2 linked regions of the Elephas maximus indicus genome follow. The protein of the gene in region 2 interacts with the protein of the main gene of each other region in a pairwise test. Links are inferred from orthologs where the notes say so. Each region holds a gene or a part of one and is shown on either strand. Other genes may lie near its edges.

What was found.
Region 1: the proteins of C7H11orf68 (region 2) and EIF4H interact in binary tests that used the Homo sapiens proteins (3 or more experiments, as listed by UniProt). The two-hybrid records come from large-scale screens. The link is inferred for Elephas maximus indicus from reciprocal best matches to the Homo sapiens genes C11orf68 and EIF4H.

Annotation. Positions count from the first base shown.
Region 1 is NC_064830.1:109,561,733-109,569,390, forward strand, and holds the start of EIF4H (eukaryotic translation initiation factor 4H), read right to left. Parts: upstream 3,142-7,658; 5' UTR 3,092-3,141; coding exon 3,033-3,091; intron 1-3,032. UniProt on the Homo sapiens protein: Stimulates the RNA helicase activity of EIF4A in the translation initiation complex. Binds weakly mRNA.
Region 2 is NC_064825.1:129,059,236-129,066,827, forward strand, and holds C7H11orf68 (UPF0696 protein C11orf68 homolog), read right to left. Parts: upstream 3,131-7,592; 5' UTR 3,129-3,130; coding exon 3,010-3,128; exon of another isoform or gene 3,004-3,009; intron 2,948-3,003; exon of another isoform or gene 2,662-2,947; coding exon of another isoform or gene 2,606-2,661; intron 2,311-2,605; coding exon 1,551-2,310; 3' UTR 722-1,550; downstream 1-721. Other genes in the region: DRAP1 (dr1-associated corepressor), read left to right, coding at 3,549-3,590, 3,826-3,898, 3,989-4,082, 4,402-4,521, 4,635-4,728, 4,980-5,068, 5,422-5,527.

The sequences.
Region 1 (7,658 bases), on a different chromosome or scaffold from region 2:
TCTGAAATCCAAGCTGTTCAAGAGAGCTTCCCGACTACTGTTCTGATTATCAAACACTACCACAAAATAAACTTACGGGGAATGTACACTTATTGATTAAAACCATACGTTTCAGACCTGGGTCACCTATGACCCTAGTTTAAGGTGTTTCAGACTAGGGGAAGACGCCTTACAAAAGTACCAAACAAAACAATGTAAGGCTGGCCTTGCACAGGTGGACTCTTTAACATTCAGACACTGTATCTGGGTGCAACCGAACAAAAGCACCGAGACATTTGCTGATGTCAGCATAATTCAAATAACAAAAAAATTATCATTAAAGGGTATCTGGTCAACTACAGGAAACCCCGGTGGTACTGCGGTTAACAGTTTGGCTGCTAACCAAAAGGCTGGCAGTTTGAATCTACCAGGCACTCCCTGGGTTGCTATGACTCGAACTGACTCAACGGCAATGGTTTTTTCATTTGGTTTCATCAACTATAGGGTTGCCATGAGTCAGAACTTACTCCATGGCAAAGGGTTTGGTCAACTATAGGGTCGTTATAAGTCAGAACTTACTTCATAGCAAAGGGTTTGGTCAACTATAGGGTCGTTATGAGTCAGAACTTACTCCATGGCAAAGGGTTTGGTCAACTATAGGGTCGTTACGAGTCAGAACTTACTCCATGGCAAAGGTTTGGTCAACTATAGGGTTGCTATGAGTCAGAACTTACTCCATGGCAAAGGGTTTGGTCAACTGTAGGGTTGCTATGAGTCAGAACTTACTCGATGGCAAAGGTCTGGTCAACTATAAGGTCGCTATGAGTCAGAACTTACTCCATGGCAAAGGGTTTGGTCAACTATAGGTTCGCTATGAGTCAGAATTTACTCGATGGCAAAGAGTTTGGATTTTTTGGGGTTGGTCAACTATAATACTGCATCGCTAAATTTCAGACCACAATCACTGATAACTCCCGATCTCCTAAAATTAAAAACAGTGACCCTTCAGAATACGAGTGCTTTTCCACAGACCACACCACTCCATCTATGGTCCTCTGTGAGGTACCCTGACCCAGTCTAGACACTGCGTAAGTCAACACACAAAATCACCGACAGGTTTTATAAACTACTTTTAGGAAAGAGCAATAGTTTCTATGTACTTTTACAGGAATGTAAAGCCAAATGGAAAATTCCAAGGAGGTCAGGTGTATAAGATGCTTAAAAGAAAAGACAAAAAACCAAACCTGTTGCCGCTGAGTCAATTCCGACTCATAGAGACCCTATCGGACAGAGTAAAATTTCCAAGGAGCGGCTGGTAAATTCGAACTGCTGACCTTTTGGTTAGCAGCCTAGCTCTTAACCAGTTGTCACCAGGGTTAGGAAGCTTAGGAGAGTCTAACTTGAACTCCTAAAGTTACCAGAAGACTTTATTGTCTAAAGGTAAGATTAAAAAAACAAAACAAAGAACCCAGGCTCGGTATATTACGACCACCTTATTGTCCAGTCCCATTACAACTAAAACCCCTTGGATCTGCCTTAAATTGAATTCCACTCTGTTTAAGCACAGAAGAGTTCCTGGGTACTACTGAACATTTTTTGAAACTAGAGGGAGAAAAAAAAATCCAAATGACTAGTTACTAGATTCAAGATGAATGAAGTACAAATTTGGTGTCTAGAAACCTACCCCAAAGGCAACAATTCCAAGTCATCCAACATCTATTTCTTTTTTATTAGCAAATAAAATATCCTTTGAAATACCATAACAGGTAGCTCCACCCCCCAACTTCCATGTTATAGTGTCAGGCTTGATACTGGCTACACTCCTGCACCAATACAAGCCTTTGTTTAAGTCATTCCCAAACCCAGGTATTAAAAGTGATCATTCTTCACCAAACAAAGATAGTTTGGCGCTGTAACCCAGGAGAGGGGACACCTCAGTAGGTACCACTGGGGTGTTAATCCTGGGAAAGTTATCCATTCTGTCTCTTTTACAAAGTCCAAGTGGGCCCTTGACAAACAGCAAGGTGTCTTACACACCATCTTCTCAATTCTCTATGAGGTACCCTGCATTAGGGGGAAAACACACACAACAACAACAGAGCATTAGGGCGAAAACACACACACAACAGTGCAGGTTCCTGGAATTAAACGCCCTAAGCTTTTTATTCACCACTCAAGGGTCTTTCTTGTCAACAAAGAGCTTCAACTGTAGCCTTCTGCGTTTGACCAAACTCAGGAAGAGCCTAAATGCCATCCCCTTTGCAGGTCAGAACGGAAAACCAGAGGGAAATACAATTCTCTGCCAGGACGCACACAGTGCTTGGCAACAGGCACTATGACCCCTCGGAAAGATTAAAAAGTTTTTTTAAAAAAAAGCTACAATGTATTTGTTTTCGTTGGTTCCCCCGCCGCCCGCCGTGAATCAGGCCGCTCCCGGGCTCCGGCCCCCAATCTGTCCCCCTCGGCCTCCGACCTGGCCTCAGCCGGCTGCCGGCGAGGAGGACCCGGGCCCGGGGGAGGCGGCACCCCGAGTCCCGGCTGCACCCCGAGCCCCAGAGGCACCCCGAGCCCCGGCTGCACCCCGAGCCCCAGAGGCATCCCGAGCCCCGGCTGCACCCCGAGCCCCGGCAGCGCCCCGGCAGCACCCCGAACCCCGGCAGCGCCCCGGCAGCCCCAGCGGCACCCCGAGCCCCGGCTGCACCCCGAACCCCGGCTGCACCCCGAGCCCCAGCAGCGCCCTCCCGGGGGACGCGGCGGAAGCGGAGCTCGGCCTCGGGGCGCGGCCGCGGCTGCCAGGGGGCAACGGGGCGCGAGGCGGGCGACACGCCGGGGTGGGCGGCAGCCACACGGAGGACGCGCCGACGAGCAGGGCCCGGGAGCCCAACGGCCGCGACCCCGCCGGGCGCGCCATTTCCAGGCCCCGCGCCTCCCAGGCCTCAGGGCGCCTCCCAGGCTCTGGGCCCGCCCGCCCCGGAGAGCTGAGCGCCCGCCGCCCCGAGCGCCCGAGCCCCGAGCCCGCCGCCTGGCCGCGGCCCGCGCGCCCGCCGCCTCACCCTCTGCCGCCGCCGAAGCTGCTGTAGGCCCGATCGTCGTAGGTGTCGAAGTCCGCCATTTGCCGTCTCCTCCGAGGGAACCAGGCTGCGCGCCCAAGGACCCCGCGCTCCGCCCCGCCCCGCCGCCGGGCTGTCCGCCGCGCCGCCTGATCGCAAATCGCACGCACGCGCGGGGGCGCGCACGCAAGCCGCGCCCGGCCTGCGCCCCGGGCTCTCCTGGCCACGTGGCTCTCCTGGCCACGTGGCGCGGCGCGGGGTCCCGGGCCGCCCTCCTTCCTGCCGGCTCGGCCCCGCCAGACGGCCCACCGGCCCGCCCGGCCCATTGTGTGCTGGCTCGGTGCCGTCCCCCCCCCCCCCCCGCCGCGGCTGCCCCGCGCTCCCGGCTGCGGCCCTCCGGCCTCGCCCCGACCCTGCGCGGCCCCTCTCCCGGCCGGGGGTGGCCGGGTGACAGCAGAGCGAGGGCCGCCTTCCGCAGGGTGCAGAGCGCGCGGAGCTGAGGGTGCTGGGGCGAACCCCGAGCGGAGACAGGGTGCTGGGGCGAACCCCGAGCGGGGACAGGGTGCTGGGGCGAACCCCGAGGGGAGACTGGGTGCTGGGGCGAACCCCGAGCGGAGACAGGGTGCTGGGGCGAACCCCGAGCGGGGACAGGGTGCTGGGGCGAACCCCGAGCGGGGACAGGGTGCTGGGGCGAACCCCGAGCGGAGACAGGGTGCTGGGGCGAACCCCGAGGGGAGACAGGGTGCTGGGGCGAACCCCGAGCGGAGACAGGGTGCTGGGGCGAACCCCGAGCGGAGACAGGGTGCTGGGGCGAACCCCGAGCGGAGACAGGGTGCTGGGGCGAACCCCGAGGGAAGACTGGGTGCTGGGGCGAACCCCGAGCGGAGACAGGGTGCTGGGGTGAACTCTGCCCTCGGAGGTCTACGCCGCGCCTGGCTGTTGGGGGGCGGGGGTCACAGGGTGTAGGCGGTGGTTAAACGAGGGAGTCGTTGGGCCGGGAACAGTGGAACCCAGACGTGAAGTCCATTCTCTGGCGGCTGCAGAGAGTGAATTTGCAATGCCGATTAATCGATTAATCGCCTGGCTGATTTCTCAGGTTTTAGACCGAGATGGCAGTAAGGTCAGATACTCCTACCGTGGAGGTACCGATGTTGACGAGCCCTACTGTGTTTTCGGCCCAACTTAAAGGAATTTCACAGAATCTTCTTGCAGTGTATACCCAGGTATCTTACACTCACACAGTATTTTTATATATTAAACATTTTCCCATACCTTATCCCTGTACCGGGGTTGGCAAAGCAGCCGTTAACTCATTTTTTGTTTTTCTGTCCCTTTTTCTTTCCGAGTAAGAGAACAGGAACTTTGACATCCGTTAAGAGCTTGGCTGCTGACCGAAAGGTTGCTGGTTCAAACCCACCCAGTGGCTCTTTGGGAGAAAGACCAGATGGTCTGCTTCCCTAAAGATTACTGCGTAGAAAACCCTATGGGGCAGTTCTATCCTGTCACATGGCACCTAACAGCAACAACAGACTTGGCCTGGGTTCTGCCTCCAACTGGTTGTGTGACCTCAGGTACGTTACCTAAGCTCTAACAGCTCAGTTTCCTCACCTTTTGAGGAACGACAGCAGTTACCTCTTCAGTGTTGTAAAGATTAAACGAGTAAATATTTGTTAAAATCCTAGCACAAAATAATATGTATTTGGCATGTACCATGTGTCTGGTACCCTTCTGGTGTTTTACATATATAATTTCCAAATTTCTTTACAGCTGAGGAAACAGGCCCAGAGTAAGCAAGTGAGTCGCGGGAGGCCACGCAGCTTTGACTTCTACCACACGACTCAGAGAAGAACCAATGGTTTCTCCTCTCCCTCCACAGCTTTAAGTTAGGTCCCTCCTCCACATCCCTGCCCCATAGCTCCATTGCTGTTAAAATGCACCTGAATGCGTTTTAGGGGGCAGTGGTGGTTCGGAGGTAGAAGTCTTGCCTGTCATGCTGGGTTTGACTCTCAGTCGGTGTAGCCCAGGCACAGTCACCACCTGTCTGCCAGTGGAAGCTTTGGTGTTCTCTGATGCTAACTTCCAGACAGACTGTCAGCCAATGGAAACCCTGTGGATCACAACAGTTCGAGCCTGTTGTGCGTGGTGTCACCATGGGTTGGAGGCCAACTCGACGGCAGCTGACAACAACAACAACAAATGGCATTTTAATAAATGAAACCTTAGTAATTATTCCTGGATAGCCTTAACATTTCTTATTCCAAAGTCTGTGCATTTTTAGTCCAAAGTCACCTCGAGGTGATGTCCTGGAGGACAGGGACCACATAGAGGAGGCTCTGTCTGTCATCTCCCACAGGACCCTACAGGAGAGGAAAGACGGGTAATTTATTAGCAATGAAGTAAAGGGAGGGAGAGCTCCTAGGAAGGCCTATGGCTGGGCCTCCCTCAGCACCAGGACCTCCATGGGTTATCCCCTCCCTCCTGGCTTAGTCCCCGTTTCCACCCAGCAGAACCCGAGACCAGTCGCTTGGACCACACTCCCAGACTCCAATCCGTAGGCCTGTCTCTTGGCTTCAAGCACACAGTCTACCTCCCACACAGGATCCAGAGGATTGAACGCAACTTAAGAAAGTTCCATAAACAGAGCATGTGCCTCAATGACAAAAGTTAGTTGTCCAGTCAGGTTTGCTCCTAATTTGCTTCCTAATTCCTTCCCCAGAGTGGATATCCCAGCCTTTACTAATTCACTTGAGCCCTAGGGGAAGGACAACCCCTTTGAAGGCCCGACTCAGACGTCACCTCTGAGAAGCCTTTGGTGTCATAGTGAAACCAGTGGCTTCACGTTTCAAACCGCCTGTGTTCAAATTCGAGCCACCAACTACTAGCTGTGTGACTTCAAGCAAGTTGCTTAATCTCTCTGAACCGAGTTCTTCGTCTATAGGAGTAATAGTCCTTGTGGTACTGGTTTTCACTATTCTTGCTATTTTTAAGGTCTGAAATATTGGTATTTGTTGGTGTCATACTTCTAATTGTTTTAAAAAATCTGAAATATTGTTTTCGTGTGGAATTAAGATCATTGACTTAAATATTCAATTTATATGAAAAGACATGCTGATACTCTACAAATCTACATAGATCCTTCTCTTGCAAGCACAAGTGTTACTCTAGGTCAGAGGCTTTGCCAACAAGTGAGTATGAATGTGAGAAAATTGAAACTGACACATGGAATCTCCACCTATACGTGACGAAAATAAAGAAGACAAAAATATACTGAAAAATGTTTAGTTTGAAACCAAAACGGTAGCTTGCTAGCACTAAAAATGTGCAGACTTTGCAATGTAGCTAAAATTTTTTTTTTTTTTTTCAAAAAGATCTGAAACGTATCAAATAAGAGATAGATACATTTGAAGAAGACACTTCAGCTCCTGTGCTGCTCCCCCACCCAGTCTGTTTTCTGTGTTGCAGTCGTGTGTTCTGTCCAAAGCCCAGATCTGGTCACTTCCCTGTGCTCAAACCCGCCTTCCTTCCTCACAGTGGGTGTCAAAGTCCTTACAAGACCTGGATGGCCTGCCCATCTTCCCGGCCACGCTGGCCTCTTTGCTCTTTCTCTCATACCCATCGCCTTCCCACCTCTGCCCTCCCTCTGCCTGGATTACTCTTCCCTCTGATGCCCTCAAGGCTCCCACCTTTTCTTCTCTTTCTCTAACTGCCCTATCTGAAATAAAGACAGATCCCAGTTGTTTCTCCAGTGCCCTGCTCGGTTCCTTTTGCTAGCACTCATCACCACCTGACTTGTGTGTCTTCCCTGAAAACAGGGAGTTTGTTTTGCTCAGGGCCTGTGTCATAGAAGGTGCTCAATAAATAGCTGTTGCTTTAATGAAAACTGGAATCAGAAATATTTAGTCAGATTAAAACCATTTTTTCATCATTCCCTCAACTTGGCTAGTGTAAAATTCTAGTAGTAGTGTCAGAGCCTGTCTGACTTCAGGGAGAGTAATGACCAGGATCAGCCCAAAGCTGGTTACTCGGAGGTGGAGGTCCGACACACTTCCACTCTCCGACCTTTTTACTAATTCTGACAGCAGCTGTCTCTCCCATGGCATTCTCTACTTCTCTTCTGGGTTTGATAATCTGTTGCAGTGACCACACAGAACACACAGACCATGCTTACATTTAAGTGATTTATGAAGGAAGTAACGGGTATGTCTCGGGATCAGGATCCACAGGCTACAGCTCGGGATCAGGGTCAGGAAGCAGGTAGGCAGTCTGGGAGGCTCCTTCGAACAGGGGAGCACATTCCTTCTTCAGCGCAGGACAGTTCTCTCAGCTGGTCTCAGCCATGCAAGCAAGCAAGCAAGCCAGCCCATCTCTGCTGTACACGCCTCCTCTCAGCCATGCAGGACTCCTCTTGGCCCCCTCAGGACAGGCTTCCTCTCAGCCCCCTTAAGACAGGCCTCTCCGTCTTCTGCCTCCCTGCCGTTGGCCTCTGTGTTGTTAACTGACCCGAATCATAGTTAGTGTAGCAGTTTTGTTCAGCTCTCTTAGCCTCAGCAGATTTCTGCTGCCACTAACAACTCTGCCACGGGGCCCTATCCAGGCCTCTCGCTGTCTTCAGTGTTAGACACTGACCTG
Region 2 (7,592 bases):
TCAGCTCCGGCACGGCACGAGAGCAGTGTCCCAAGGGGCTCCCTGCCAGATAACCTGGCCCCCGACCAAGGCCAGGGCCAGGCGAGGGTGGGGGCGGGGGGTTGGAGTCAGGCTCCAGAGGCTCCAGTAGCCTAGCACAAGAGCTCAGCAAGATCACGGGAGTGAAAGTGCTTTGTGGGTTGTGAACAGCTAACCGTGGGTGAGGTTTCCTCTTAGAGGCAGAGGAGGCAGGGGTGGGGTGCAAATTCTAGCTGTCTCTGCTCAACTCACCACATGATCCTGGGGAACTCCCTTTCCCCTCTGGGCCTCAGTGTTCCTGACCACAGAATGGGGCCAATACCTCTTTCAGAAAGACGTGAGAATTCAATGATGCATGTGGAAGTGCTCTGCAAACTGTCCAGTGGCCCCTCTGACAGGGCAGTGTGAGAGGTGAGTATAAATGGGAGACCTTCCAGGACCATCACTGAAGGTTGTGTAGGTTGTTCCCTGCACTAGTGTGTCCAGCCTAGGACACTGAAATGCAGCCCATTCTCCATTCACCAAACCATGAGGCCTGCCCAGGCTGCCTCTCCCAGCGGGCATCTTTCTTTAATATGCCCAAATACATTATGCTATACATATACAGGCACATATATCACACCTAAAAATGAGGCTAATAGTGGCCCCTTGGGCCTTTCTGGAAGGGCCAAGCCCTTGCATTTATAGGAAATCACTGATTCTGATTTTTGGGATGGGACAAGCAGGGCTGGCTTCACAGAGGTTCTGAGAGGAGCCGGGCCTTGGTGAGGCATGTCTTAGTACCGTGGGCAGACAGGAGGCCAGGCCTGGGGAGCAGTCCTCTCCTGGCTCTGCATCTCTTCAGCAGCCAAAGGAGGTAACCACCAATACAGCCTTAAAAAACACTCAAGACACAGACCCAAGCTGGGCTTTATTGAAATGCCAGGAGCAGGCACGTGACAAGATATGAGGAGGGGAGGAAGGTGGTGCAGGCTGTAAATCTCACGGAGGGGCAGGCCCGGTGACCTGGGCCCTGGTGTCCCCTCTCTCTGCCAGGGGCTGAGTGACACAACTACTTCTCTACCCCCAATGGCATGCTCAGGCCCGCAGGACCCCTGCCCTGTGGACTTAGAAGGCTCCAAGGGGAAAGACTGGAAGCACTGAGTTTTCTCCCTCGTGAAGGAGGAAGGGAAAGGGACAGTGCAGGAGGAGGCAAGGTGCAGCCTGGTGGGGTGACGGGGGTGGCCAAGGACGGCTCTCCCCCAGCATCTGGCCCCGGCCTGTGGTCCTGGGAGGTTGAGGGGAGCAGCAGCGAAGAGAGGCTGAGGGCCCGGCCCTCAGCAAGCCAGAGCCCCGCCACTTGTGGGGGCTGGCATTAGTCCTGATCAGAGGGCAGAGATTCAAGGGAATGAAAGATGCAGGCAGTTTCCAAAAGAGCTAACCCAGTCCTCAAAGCTGGGGCCTGGCCTCCTTGGGGTGACAAGGAGGAAGGTGGGAACATCCATACTGGCATGGATGGTCCATCCCAAGGTGGTCTTGTTTGCCTGGCCCCACTAGGTCAGTTCCACATTGTTGGCTCGATCAAGCACACGAGAGCCGCGGGCATCACCTCCCAACTGGAAACGGCTCTCGTAGAGAGTGGGGCAGAGGTGCCAGCGGTTGGCTCGGTAGATGCCCAGGTAGGTGTAGACATCAGGCTTGTAGGTGAGCAGGCACTTAATGCCTGCAGCCCGGATGGCTGTGTCTGCCTCCAGTACACCCAGGCGGTCCGTGAAGTCATCTGTGTAAACACAGATGACCTGGCGCCCACCCTCCTTGGCCCGTGGGCTCACCTTGGCCACCTGAAGCTGGCCTTCGACCACGGCTCGGGCAATGCCAGCCCAGGCATGGTCCAGCTTGAAGCCAGGTGTCAGGTGCATCAGCCACTTGCCTGAGAGCACCTGGTGAGTGATAGCCAGCTGGCGCAGGGTACTGGGTGTGATGGGCCGCCCGCTAGTCTGCAGAGCCTCCCAAGCTGCCTGCAGACCCTGTACATCACCAGAATTGGGGAGGTAGCCCTGCCCATACACTGCGATCCAGCCCACAGGCTCTGAGTTGGGTGAGCCAGGGTCCCCATAGCGGGTAACTTGGGATGGTGGGTATTTGGCCAACCAGGCATCCAGCTCAGTGGCGGGCGTACTGCGGGCATCAAACACCAGCCAGGGGTCCATGTCAGCTGCCATGGCCTCTGCAGCCAAGTGCTCAGCGGTAAAACCATCCTCCCGGCCGCCTGGAGAGTCCTCTTCCTCTGGCTCCTCACCGGACTCCATCCTGCTGTGAGGGAATTGAGTCAGGGCAGGTCTGGGACAATAACTACCGATAGCTGGGCCCTAACAGGTGCCAGGCACTGGCCTAAACTGTGTGGCCTTGGGCAAGACTTAATATCACTGTGCCTCAGTTACTTCATAACGGAGTAACAACCTTCCCTGTCTCACAGAGCTGCCGTGAGAATTAAATGCCTGAGGTGCAGTAAGCGCTACATAAGTGTTACTGCCATTGTCATTACTCTCATTGACCTAGAGACAAGAAGACTGACGTTCAGAGAGAAGGGAACTGCCCAAGGTCACACCTGTACTGAGTGGCAGAGAAAAATGTGAATCCAGGGGTGGAAGCTCCCGGCCCCATCACGCCTCCTGGCCCTATCAAAGCGCTCTTCGTCTGGTCTCAGCCCGGCAGGGATCCGGAGCTCTGGATTTAATGGAGGGAGGCACATTCACGCAGCACCCAAGGCGCGCCCTGTGGACCAGGCCTCCCGGTGGGCGTCGTCGTGCCCACTTAAAGACGAGGACACTGTGGCCCACGGAGGCAGTGACGGGACCGAGGCCGATGGGGCGGTGCCCGGACTCGAACCTTGGCTGGTTAGAGCCTGCCGGAGGGCCAGCCGCCGGCCCCGCCGCGCCCGCCGCCATTAGCACCCGCAGACCGACCAAGGCCCCCGCCCCAGCCCTACCCCTCCCGCGGCCCCACCGTCACCTCCGGCCGTCGCTGCGTTCGGCTCCGGCCCAGCCCCGGGCGCGGTTCCGTTCCTGCCGGGGCTCCGCGCCGCCACCACCGCGCCCCGCCCCCGCCACGGCCGCCGCCGCCGCCGCCATCTTAGCGCTCGCCGCTTCAACAACAACTTTATAGACAAGCGCAGCCACGGGGCGGGGCCGCCGGGCAGCTGGGCTGGGCGGGGCCGACAGGAAGGGGCGGGGCCATCGCGGGAACCAGAGGGGGCGGGCCGGCCGGGGGGCGGAGCTAACGTTCGATCTTCAGGCCTTGAGGGCCGGAGGGAGAGGCGGGCCGGACGGCCGGAGGAGACGCGCACCGCCCCGGAGGGTGAAGGGGAGGGCCCTGTGCGCTGCGAGCTTCGTCCTGAGCGGCGGCACTAGGACCCCGTGGGCAGCGGCGGGGGGCGGAGCAGGCGGCGCCAGGACCCGGGGGAAGCGCGACGGGCGGGCGGTGAGCAGGCCCGGGGGCCGGGAGGCTGCGGGCGGCGGCGCTGGGCCCGGCGCGTCGGGAGAGGCCCCAAGATGCCGAGCAAGAAGAAGAAGTACAACGCGCGGTTCCCGCCGGTGAGCACGTGGCCAGGCTGGGGTGGAGCAGGCCCGGCTCCCTGGAGGCCCGGCCCGAGCCCCGCTGGGGGGGGCGGGCACTTCGGGCGTCCGGGGGCCCGGACGCCCCGCCCCCTTCCCTTCCCCCTTCTGTGCCCCCCCCTCCCGCGCATTTCTCCCGGAATTCCCTCTCGTACCCCCAGTACCCTTTTTCATGAAGGAAGTGGTGGGGTCCGAACTCTGCCCCTCTCCCCAGGCGCGAATCAAGAAGATCATGCAGACTGACGAGGAGATTGGGAAGGTGGCGGCGGCTGTGCCTGTCATCATCTGTATCCTGCCGGGGGCTGGCCGGTTGGGGGGCGTGGGAGAGGGGGGCAGGTCGGGAATCCCCCTACCATCTTCTCCTTAACACCGCTCAGCCCGGGCGCTGGAGCTCTTCCTGGAGTCGCTGCTGAAGAAGGCCTGCCAGGTGACCCAGTCCCGCAATGCCAAGACTATGACCACGTCCCACCTGTGAGTGGCCCGCGGGGCTGGGAGGGGTCCTGGCCGAGAAGTTCACGAGTTCTCTCTCTTAAGGGGGCTGTACTCTACCTCCTAGGCGGGGGAGCTCTAAACAAGAGGGTGGTGGGAGACGGCTTGGAGACAGTGGGATTGGACCCGTGAAGCAAGGCCTGGGTGTTCCAGGCTGGGGAAATAACCTGAGCAGAGAGCACAGGTTTGGTGGTGGAGACGGGGAGGGAGCTCTTATAGTTCCCCCTTCCCTGACATCCTGGCCACTTCGCTGGGCCCTACCCGAGTACCCTGTCTGAGTGCTGTTTTCCCTCTCTTCCAGGAAGCAGTGCATTGAACTGGAGCAGCAGTTTGACTTTCTGAAGGACCTGGTGGCCTCCGTGCCTGACATGCAGGGGGACGGGGAAGACAACCACATGGATGGAGACAAGGGTGCCCGCAGGTGGGGGGCCAGGTGTCCAGGCAGGGAAGGCCAAGGCCACAGGGGTAGGTGGTGATTGGGGGTGCTTCAGGAGAGGGGAGACCCCTGGGCACATGGACTGTACTTTCCCAAAGGGGCCGGAAGCCAGGCACCAGCAGCCGGAAGAACGGTGGCATGGGCAGCAAAGGCAAGGACAAGAAGCTGTCAGGGACGGACTCAGAGCAGGAGGTGAGGAGGCCCAGCTCTGTCTGGCCCAGCTGTGATGGAGAGGGTGGCACCTGGAAGCCTCAGCATCAGGCTGAGCTGGCTGGAGGCTGGTACCCATCCTTACCAGAAACCATATTACACCTTAGTTTCTTTGTTTGTAAATTGGATCTGTTGGGATCTGTGTCCTGTCCCACCACTCCCAGAGCTCTGGGGTCCCCAGTGATAGGTCTAGACATCCCTTTTCTTGTTACTCTGACCCATTTCCGTTACAGGATGAGTCTGAGGACACGGACACAGAGGGGGAAGAGGAGACACCACAGCCCCCACCCCAGGCCAGCCATCCCCCTCCCCACTTTCAAAGGTAAGCAGCTTAGCCGAGCCAGGAGGACCAGCCCACTTGCCAAGGCCGGCCTGTCCTTCTTGTCCTCTACGGACACTGGTTCTGTGGATTGTAGCAGATTTGGGGGGAACTGGGAGGAACTGAGTTGTGCTCTCAGAAGGCCCCTTTTCCCCCCAGGTGGGGACAGTGGACAGAGCTTTGACAAAGCTCTTTGACCTTCGTTGGGCCTTTCTCTTCTCTGGGGCATGGCTTCCTGTGGGCACAAAGGGTAATGGGCTCCTTGCCTGCCTCTGTAGAGGGTGGGGTGGGGCTCCACAGGCAGGAATGGGCCCAGAGCGTGGTCTGATCAGCCTTTCTTGCTTTCTGCCTCACAGCCCCCCGACACCCTTCATGCCCTTCACCTCGACTGTGCTTCTGCCCCTAGCACCCCCGGGCCCATCAGGACCAGATGCAGAGGATGAAGAGGATTATGACTCCTAGCGCCCCCTGCCCCCCAGGCTACACCCCCTTTTAGTTGGTTTTAGTTGTTCTGGGGGGGGGGGAGAAAAGAAAGCTGTTCTTAAATTTATTAAAAAAATAAAAGGGAACATCGGTGTTTGTTCCAGTCTCTGTCTGGGGCTCTGTGGCCACTTTCCCATTCACCTGCCTTCCCCCCACTGAGCTGGGCCCAGGGGCAGTGGTGGGCTGGGCAGTGGCTGAGTGAAGGGAAGGGAGAGGTCCACTGGAGAGGCCAGAGTCTAAGGTTCTGCCTGGGGCAGGCCTAAAGATGTTGATGAAAGGAAGGCGGGTGGAGCGGCCTGGGGGCTGAGCCAGCAGGTGCTGGGTATGCTGGGGGGCACGGGGCAGGCTCCTGCCCTTTTCTTAGCAATCTCATCTCTTGCGTGGAGCCCACTCCACCCACCTTGGGCTGCTGGGGAGGGCTAGGCGGGATAAGTAATGGGAATGGGCTTTGAAGACCCACTTGCGCCTGGTGTGATAGAGGGTGTGGGAAGGAGCAGCGGCACGGTAGGCATCATCATGAAGGGCTTCGTGCCGGTTTTCGAGCTGGGCAGTGACACAGTTGGTCATTCAACAGGCATTTCTGACCAGGGAGGCTGTGATTATATCTGGTTTTAACAAGTCAATGACTTCCTTGTGGAGGCATCAAGGAGCAGGGAACCCTGCAGGAGGGTATCAAGGGCCATAGCAGCCTGGGTCAGGTGGGGCAGGGGTCCGAAGGGCAGTGGACAGACAGGGCCTCCGTGAAGACCACTGTCAATGGCCGGACATGGGGCCAAGAGGGAGGGAGTTATCAAGGACAACCCCCAGGTTTCTTTCTTTAGCAACTTCAGTGGGGGTGGGGTCTTTTTCCAGCTGGGGGCCACAGGAGGAAGAGGACGATGTGGCCTCGGGATCACAAGTGTGTCTGTGATTAATTGGAGTGCTTATGTATCTTAAGAGTCTCCCGAGGAACAGAACCAGTGAGCTATACATGTATGCATATATATGCACGTTGTTAGCTGTCATTGACTTGACTCTGACTCAGTGACCCCATGACAGTAAAACTGCCCCGTAGGGTTTTCTTGGTTATATTTTTTAAGAAACCAAATTGCCAGGTCTTTCTCCCACGGAGTCGCTGGGTGGGTTCAAACCACCAACCTTTCAGTTAGTAGCTGAGTGCTTAACCTTTTTCACCACCAGATCTTATTCTGTATATATACACGGCTTTACTTCAAGGATTTGGTGCACAGGATTGTGGTGGACTGACAAGTACAAAATTCGTGGGTCAGGTGAAAGGCTGGAGACTAATGCAGGCTTTAATCTCAAGATCTGTAGATCAGACGACAGAGGGCAGAGTGGAGAGTGCATTCTGCCCAAATACCTAAAATACTTACAGTCTAAAGTCGTTGCTGTTGCAAAGGATCTCTTTAAAGAGTTGAAAAGCAAAGATGTTACCTTGAAGACTAAGGTGCGCCTGACCCAAGCCATGGTATTTTCAATCGCATCATCTGCGTGCAAAAGCTAGACAATGAATAAAAAAAAAAAAAGGAAAACCGAAAAAGAATTGACGCCTTTGAATTGTGTTGGTGAAGAATGTTGTGTATACCATAGACTGCCCAAAGTAGGAACAAACCTATCTTGGAAGAACAACCAGAATGCTCTTCAGAAGCAAGGATGGCGAGACTGCATCTTACATACTTTGGCATGTTGTCAGAAGGAATCAGTCCCTGGAGAGGGCATCATGCTTAGTAAAGTAGAGGTCCGTGGAAAAGAGGAAGACCCTCAACGAGATGGATTGACACAGTGGCTGCAACAATGGACTTAAGTATCACGATTGTGATCATGGCACAGGACCGGGCAACGTTTCGTTGTGTTGTACATAGGGCCACTATGAGTCGGAACTGACCCAGTGGCACCTAACAACAACAACAACATAGTCTAAAGGCAGAACACACGCTGAGGAAACTCCCTTTTCAACTGATTGCATTAAACTAGATTATGGAAAATGATAACTACGTTAGATTGCATTGGAGGAACAGCAGCTAGTCTAGTTTGGCCAAACCAC